2 linked regions of the Saccharomyces cerevisiae S288C genome follow. Changing the gene in region 2 together with the main gene of any one other region gives a genetic interaction. Each region holds a gene or a part of one and is shown on either strand. Other genes may lie near its edges. The genes, in order: PHO90 and PHO89.

What was found.
Region 1: mutations in PHO89 (region 2) and PHO90 are lethal when combined (synthetic lethality), as found in Saccharomyces cerevisiae (2 studies listed by BioGRID, with this or other methods).

Annotation. Positions count from the first base shown.
Region 1 is NC_001142.9:59,214-63,144, reverse strand, and holds the start of PHO90 (SPX domain-containing inorganic phosphate transporter), read right to left. Parts: upstream 2,302-3,931; coding exon 1-2,301. Other genes in the region: MBB1 (Mbb1p), read left to right, coding at 2,963-3,289. UniProt on the Saccharomyces cerevisiae protein: Low-affinity phosphate transporter involved in the control of cellular phosphate levels.
Region 2 is NC_001134.8:796,461-800,391, reverse strand, and holds PHO89 (Pho89p), read left to right. Parts: upstream 1-1,869; coding exon 1,870-3,594; downstream 3,595-3,931. Other genes in the region: TYC1 (Tyc1p), read left to right, coding at 150-269; cation-transporting P-type ATPase PCA1, read right to left, coding at 3,893-3,931. UniProt on the Saccharomyces cerevisiae protein: Sodium-phosphate symporter. Active in early growth phase.

The sequences.
Region 1 (3,931 bases), on a different chromosome or scaffold from region 2:
ACCGAAAATACATAGAATGGCAAAAACACCATCATTCTCAATTTTCTTTTGTAATGCTTTTGCAATGGTTGATAGCAAACCCGAGGATGAGACGGCCTTCCCCAAAGCAATACCTCCCATTGCCAAAATAACGATTGACCACGGAAAGGCATTTAAATCTTGTGTTGATAGTAATCCGGTACCAAAAAACAAAACGATGGGAATGATTGCAATTTGACCTGATGACCCAAAAGCACCTTCAATCTGGCTTTCCACACACCACAACAAAATAGTGGCCACAGTGACAGTAATGATATAATACTGCTTAACTGTGAATTTCGTCTTAATAGGCTTAAATTTTTCCAATTTGGTCTTATTCATCTTGAAAGTAGTGAACAATAAAATCCAAACCAAAAGCATGGCCAGGATACCAGATGGCAATGCAACAGCAAAGAATTGGCCCCAGCCAATACCATAGGGTTTCAAGTACGACATGGAAATGATGTTTTGAGGTGAAGAGATTGGTGAAGACATACCACCGATATTTGCAGCCAACGCTACACCTAACACCAATGCTTGCGCAAATGGGCTATCTGCATCCATGGCATCCAATAGGGGAGATAACAACGAATATGTTAGAACAGGTGCTGCGACATTGGAAATCCACATTGATAGGAAGAACACGACACACATTGCCATTAAAAGAACGTTTCTGGGTTTACAACCAGCGAAGGCCAACAACCACGAGGCAAGAACTTTGGCGATGTTATATTGTGCAAGTACTTCACCCAAAGTAAAACCTGCCAGCAGAATCATAATTGTAGAAGACCACATGGCGGCCAAAATTTCTGATGAAGCGCTTGCAGCACTCATTATAGCCCCGTCGGAGGTTTTTAGGACTTTGAAAAGGACTACAAGTAGTGGTACAAGGAATGCTGTAATGTGTAATGGGATGGCCTCACTAGCCCACAAAAAGGCGACACACTCGACAAGGGCCATGCAGCGGTGCTGAGCAGCGTCGTTGAAGGTCTTTATTCCTAACAAGAGTCCAGTGACTAGAATAATAAAGTAAATCTTGTATGCTTTCTTGGTGAAAAATAATTTCGGTAGTGCAACGTTGTTTATACTAGTGAATTTTAAGTTTATCGGTCTGGGTAGTGGCCATCTGTAGTATTCCAAATCTAACTTGCCTACCAGCTTATTTGCATTATATTCTGTTTCCTTTGGTGTCAACTCGTCAGCTTGCGATAGCAGTCCCAACATGTCTTTCCAAGTGTTACTTCTTTCCCAAACAATGTGGTCATGCAGGTAGGATTTCAACTCTTGCTTGCTATGCGAGATATTATGAGGCCGGTCAGTGATGCGCGCATAAAATGTGACTAGCTGGGAAATTTTGGAATTTAGCAATTCGATCGTTTCTGCCTGGAATGCATATGTGTCTTTGAAAAACTGCTCCGATTCGATCAGTTCGGTTCTTGTATTCAAGTGAAGAACTTTGTCTGATTTCTTTGTAATTTTTGCAAACCCAATGCGGTTCAATTCGATGAACGACTTCAACTGGCAAAGATCGATATATAGGTTTACGATCGACTTCTTCAACAGCGATTTTTTCTGAGACTTAATGTTATACTGCGAATGATGCAGCAAAGCAGTATTATCTTCAATATTAGATTGATCATCGTAAAATTCGTCGTCGTCTTCGTCATCATCCAAGTCTAGTGGGGGAACTTCGTCATTTGTGCTGGCAATCGGTTCGTTAAACAGAGTATCATCGTCGATATCGTATTCTATAACTCCGATTTTCTTCAGGTCCTTCACCAGCGCGTCAAATTTGTCGTAGAACTTCGCTTCTGTCCTCTTATAAAAATCATCTACTTTCTGTTTTTCAGCTGTTAAATCACCAACAAACGTATCATAAGTGTCTAATTGCAGATTTTCGTTGGCCGTGGAGGAGACGGACGATGCGGAAGACGACCTTCTTTTGTAAAATATCTTTTCCTTCATTCTTCTGAAAGGAGAAGGTTTGGCAGCGACCGTCTGAGCAGTAGGCAACTCTCGCAACTCGATGGTTTCCTCAACGATGCCTGCATCTTTGTTCATACCGGAAGACGTATCTTCCTTCGCATTTTTAAAAGAAAACTTGTTTTTGAACCTATCTGTAATGTTAGAGCTCTTTCCTGCGCCAAATCCTTCTTCGTTATCACCAACCTGAAGTTCATCTGTTTGTAGCGTGTAAATAAGATTTTTCAGCTCGCTGTAGTCCATATAATGGTTTTGCCATTCTGGGACAGCATTGTACTTCAAGAAGTGTGAAAATCTCATGATCCTGTACCAGCTACCACTTACTCGTTTATCCTAAAAACAACTTTATTGGCCGGATGACATCGAAGTGAACAGTGTTCTTTATATCGATGAATCAAAATTTTTCAGTGAGCCATTCATTCTTCGAGAAGCAGCGCAAAAAAAAACAAAAAAAAAAAAAACGGCTGTAGCTGCGGCGATATTGTGAGCGCCCCGCTTTAGGGCGACTTTACCCATAGTAAAAAGGGAAGACAATAACGAAATAAGAAGAGAAGAGAACCGTGGTTTCTCTGTTGCTTAGGATCATATACGCCTACAGCAAGGCACCTCTTTATGCGTATGCAGTCATACAAGGAGTGTGGAAATGCAGCACAGATGGCCTTCGCTGCTTGCCAGGCTGCCATTTTTCTTGGCTGCTGCCGCTACTACTGATTTTCTTACCTCTGCTAGAAACCAGTGGAAATGATTTATTCACAATCTAGCACCATGCAACATACATCCAAATCAGTGGAAATACGACATTATTAGCCGGCCCTTTACGTGCCAAAGGTAATAACAGTGAACGGGAGATGGGAAGCTTAATGCTGTTACCCGCTATCGGTTGTTGCTATGTAAACCAAATATAAATGCAAGCCAAAAAAAAAGGGTAACATAAGGTTAAGTAGGAGAAGGGAGATATTGAATGTATAAGGTGTCAGCATGTGGGGTGAGGATAATGAGTGGCATATCAGAAATTTGGATTGGCGAACTTAGAGATTACAAGTACGCTTTACGTCTTGATAGAGAAGAGTATCCAGCGGTGCTTGTTTACGAGTATGACTCGTCTTCTACTAGGAACTATCTTTTTACCATAAAGTACAGCGATCAGAGGCCGAACTGGCAGCTCATTACTCGTGACGCAGCTTTAACAGCTTACGACTTACTTAACAGAGGTGGCGAGTTCACAACTCTCAGCTTTCCGGGAGCCACTATTCACCGTTCAGTCAGTGAGCTGTCCCGATTGCATTAACAATATATAAGGGAGCAGAGCGAAACAATATGAGGTTCAGTAACATTTAAGGGTCGCTATTGAGTGTTTTGTGAGATATAAGTGAGTTTTGAGATAATTGTTGGGATTCCGTTGTTGATAGAGGCTACAATATTATGTATACAGAATATACTAGAAGTTCCCCTCGAGGATATAAGAATTCTCAAATGGAATCTATACATACTAATAATACGACTATTCCTCATTCCGTTTTCATATGTTTCGTTCCTATTACACTATCAATCCTTGCATTTTCAGCTTCCATTACATTTGATGACTGATTCTCAATCTTTATGTTATCTTTTTACACCACATGTGATAGTATACTACTAAACAGTATGCGGTAGCTATACTCTTTAATGAATGGGCGAAGCCTCCCTAGTATTTTATCTTGACATATCTAAAGGATTGCACAATATTGCGATTTGTTCTCCACAATGAAACCTTCTCAATAATTGTCCGATCATCCACCCATTTCTTAAGATGATAGACGATTCTTAGTCCAATAACATTGTATCCTTTACGTTCCGTAGAATATCATGTTGTTGATCCTCTTCTCAGCACAGTGCTTATTACTCTCACATCAACATCAAAAAAATTGCTTCATGATTAAAATGTTTGTGG
Region 2 (3,931 bases):
CGGTACGGACAATAAAATCCGGGGGCGGGGTAAATTGCGCATGGCCGTGGAATGTCACTGCAAAGTGAACGAGAAGATTAGAACACGGAATAAGGAAAACTTCTGGGGAATTTATTTTTCAAGATTTGGTTCCAGGTTTTTCCCCAGAAATGAAAGTGCTAGATGATTGGTTTTCAAGGAAGTTCTCAAAAGCTGTACACGGAAACAATCACGGCACCATTTCCTTGTCAACTCTGTCTTATATCAGAGTCCATAAACTAGTAAAATGACTTCGTAGAATCGAACAATATCTCACCATAAAATTTTTTTCACAAACAAAAAAGACGCTCTATTATACAAAAAGCTGCTGCGGCCCTTCTTAATGACTAAATCTTGACAACTGAGCTCTTTCACACCTGTGCAAAATCCAATGGGAGCAATAAATGTAACATATTTTTTTAACATACCACGGTAGGGCAATGAATATAAATAGATATTGGACCGTATCCTTTTCTGATCATCTTGAAAACATTGTCTTGCCTCTCAACAGCTTTATCTATTCTTCACCTCTCTTCGTTTGACTATTTCAGCATGTATTTTTTCACACAATTTTTCTTCCAACTATTTTCCAATATTACTACGAGAATTCCGACCACGGAAAAAAACTTGCGCTGTTCCAATCAGTCCCATTCTATCCATCTACCTGCCAGTGGTTTCGTAATATCGACTCACACCAGTAACGACATAACTGTTTTTTCGTTCATGATTTAATAGCGAGCCCACCTTTAACGCATATCTGCTTCACCGCTGAAATAATATTTTACGAGCACGCTAACACAATGCTTGTGTTTTCTGTTGAAATCACAATACCGTTACTTGGAGTGACCATTTATGGTTTGTTGAATTCACAGTACTCTCGTCAGCTTTGTCACGTATTCAACTGTAACCTCTTTGAATCTCAACACTACGTTGTCTTCGCGTGTACTAAATGTATCGATTATATAATAGTATTTAAAAATCATTTAAAATTGCACCATGTACTGTATAATGATTTTCTCAAGACGATATTTCGAGTTTTGCCGATGGGTCTTATAATCTCTTTTGATAGAGATACCTACTTTTAACAATATCAAAATTACTGATATAGGTTAATTTTTGTTCACGAGTAAGTACTTCAGTGACACTCGTCAGTAAAGAACATTAGCGGAATCGTTATAATTTCATTCCTTACATCCGTTTAATTTCATTAATTCGATGCATCTTTCTTTGGCGAAGCCAGAAAATCTAGTTTCAGAAATCTCGGTTTCACCCGCAAAAAAGTTTAAATTTCACAGATCGCGCCACACCGATCACAAAACGGCTTCACCACAAGGGTGTGTGGCTGTGCGATAGACCTTTTTTTTCTTTTTCTGCTTTTTCGTCATCCCCACGTTGTGCCATTAATTTGTTAGTGGGCCCTTAAATGTCGAAATATTGCTAAAAATTGGCCCGAGTCATTGAAAGGCTTTAAGAATATACCGTACAAAGGAGTTTATGTAATCTTAATAAATTGCATATGACAATGCAGCACGTGGGAGACAAATAGTAATAATACTAATCTATCAATACTAGATGTCACAGCCACTTTGGATCCTTCTATTATGTAAATCATTAGATTAACTCAGTCAATAGCAGATTTTTTTTACAATGTCTACTGGGTGGACATCTCCAAACAATTCATGTCACTAAGCCCGGTTTTCGATATGAAGAAAATTATATATAAACCTGCTGAAGATGATCTTTACATTGAGGTTATTTTACATGAATTGTCATAGAATGAGTGACATAGATCAAAGGTGAGAATACTGGAGCGTATCTAATCGAATCAATATAAACAAAGATTAAGCAAAAATGGCTTTACATCAATTTGACTATATTTTTGCCATTGCCATGTTATTTGCATTTTTGGATGCCTTTAACATCGGGGCAAACGACGTGGCGAACTCATTCGCGTCGTCGATCTCTTCTAGATCTCTAAAATACTGGCAAGCCATGGTTTTGGCGGGTCTCTGTGAGTTCTTGGGTGCTGTCTTGGCAGGCGCAAGAGTTTCTGGTACTATCAAGAACAACATTATAGATTCCTCCATTTTTACCAACGACCCCGCTGTTTTAATGCTTACTATGACCAGTGCTTTGATTGGCTCGTCTTGTTGGTTAACATTTGCTACTGCAATCGGAATGCCAGTTTCTACTACACATTCCATTGTTGGTGGTACAATTGGCGCTGGGATTGCAGCCGGTGGAGCTAACGGTGTCGTTTGGGGTTGGAGTGGTGTTTCTCAAATTATTGCGTCATGGTTCATTGCTCCGATTTTGGCAGGCGCGATCGCAGCTATAGTTTTTTCAATTTCTAGGTTTTCTGTCCTTGAAGTTAAGTCTTTGGAAAGATCGATTAAGAATGCTTTACTGCTGGTTGGTGTTTTAGTATTCGCCACTTTCTCTATCTTAACAATGTTGATTGTCTGGAAGGGTTCTCCAAACCTACACTTGGACGATTTATCTGAAACTGAAACTGCCGTATCTATTGTTCTCACAGGTGCAATTGCTTCGATCGTTTACTTCATCTTTTTCTACCCATTCTACAGAAGAAAAGTTTTGGACCAAGATTGGACACTAAAGTTGATTGATATTTTCAGAGGTCCATCTTTTTACTTTAAGTCCACTGATGATATCCCACCAATGCCAGAAGGCCATCAATTAACAATCGATTATTACGAGGGCAGAAGAAATCTTGGAACAACTGTTTCTGTTGAAGACGAAGAAAATAAGGCAGCGAGTAATTCTAATGATTCCGTCAAAAACAAAGAAGACATCCAGGAAGTGGACCTGGTTAGAACTGAAACTGAACCAGAAACAAAGTTGTCAACGAAACAATATTGGTGGTCATTATTAAAGCAAGGACCTAAAAAATGGCCCTTATTGTTCTGGTTAGTAATCTCTCATGGTTGGACTCAAGACGTCATTCATGCTCAAGTTAATGATAGAGATATGTTATCTGGTGACCTGAAAGGAATGTACGAAAGATCTAAATTTTACGACAATAGAGTAGAATATATCTATTCGGTTCTCCAAGCCATTACTGCAGCCACTATGTCTTTTGCTCATGGAGCTAATGACGTTGCCAACGCTACTGGTCCTTTGTCTGCTGTGTATGTGATCTGGAAAACTAACACTATTGGGGCAAAGTCCGAAGTTCCCGTGTGGGTTCTGGCTTATGGTGGTGTTGCCTTAGTTATTGGTTGCTGGACTTATGGTTACAATATTATCAAAAATCTAGGTAATAAGATGATTTTGCAGTCGCCATCAAGAGGCTTTTCAATTGAACTAGCTGTTGCTATTACTACTGTCATGGCTACCCAATTAGGTATTCCTACCTCAACAACCCAGATCGCCGTTGGTGGTATTGTCGCTGTTGGTTTATGTAACAAGGATCTCAAATCAGTTAATTGGAGAATGGTAGCCTGGTGTTATTCTGGTTGGTTTTTAACTTTACCAATTGCTGGTTTGATTGCCGGTATCATAAATGGTATCATTTTGAATGCTCCTCGCTTTGGTGTGGAATACCAAATGACATAATCATAATGTGTTTCGGTTATGAATACAGTTTTACAACATTAGGTAGAACTTTTATTGCTCAGTGACTTTAAAGTTAAAACATTTCTAATTTAAAACCTTAAAGATGCATTAATTTTTTTCTAATTTATCAGTTGATCTGCAATTACCTGGCATGGCTATGTGTATTTTTTTTTTTTATGAATTCCATCATATTAAATAGAAAACTAAACTAAATAATAAATAGAGTATTACAGAGTCGTCAAAAAAAAAAAAGAAAAGAAAAAAGAAAATCTACAATCAAATAGCAGCAGTACCTGGACTAAATCTTTGCATAACGCAGAAGTATAGCTACAAAAAT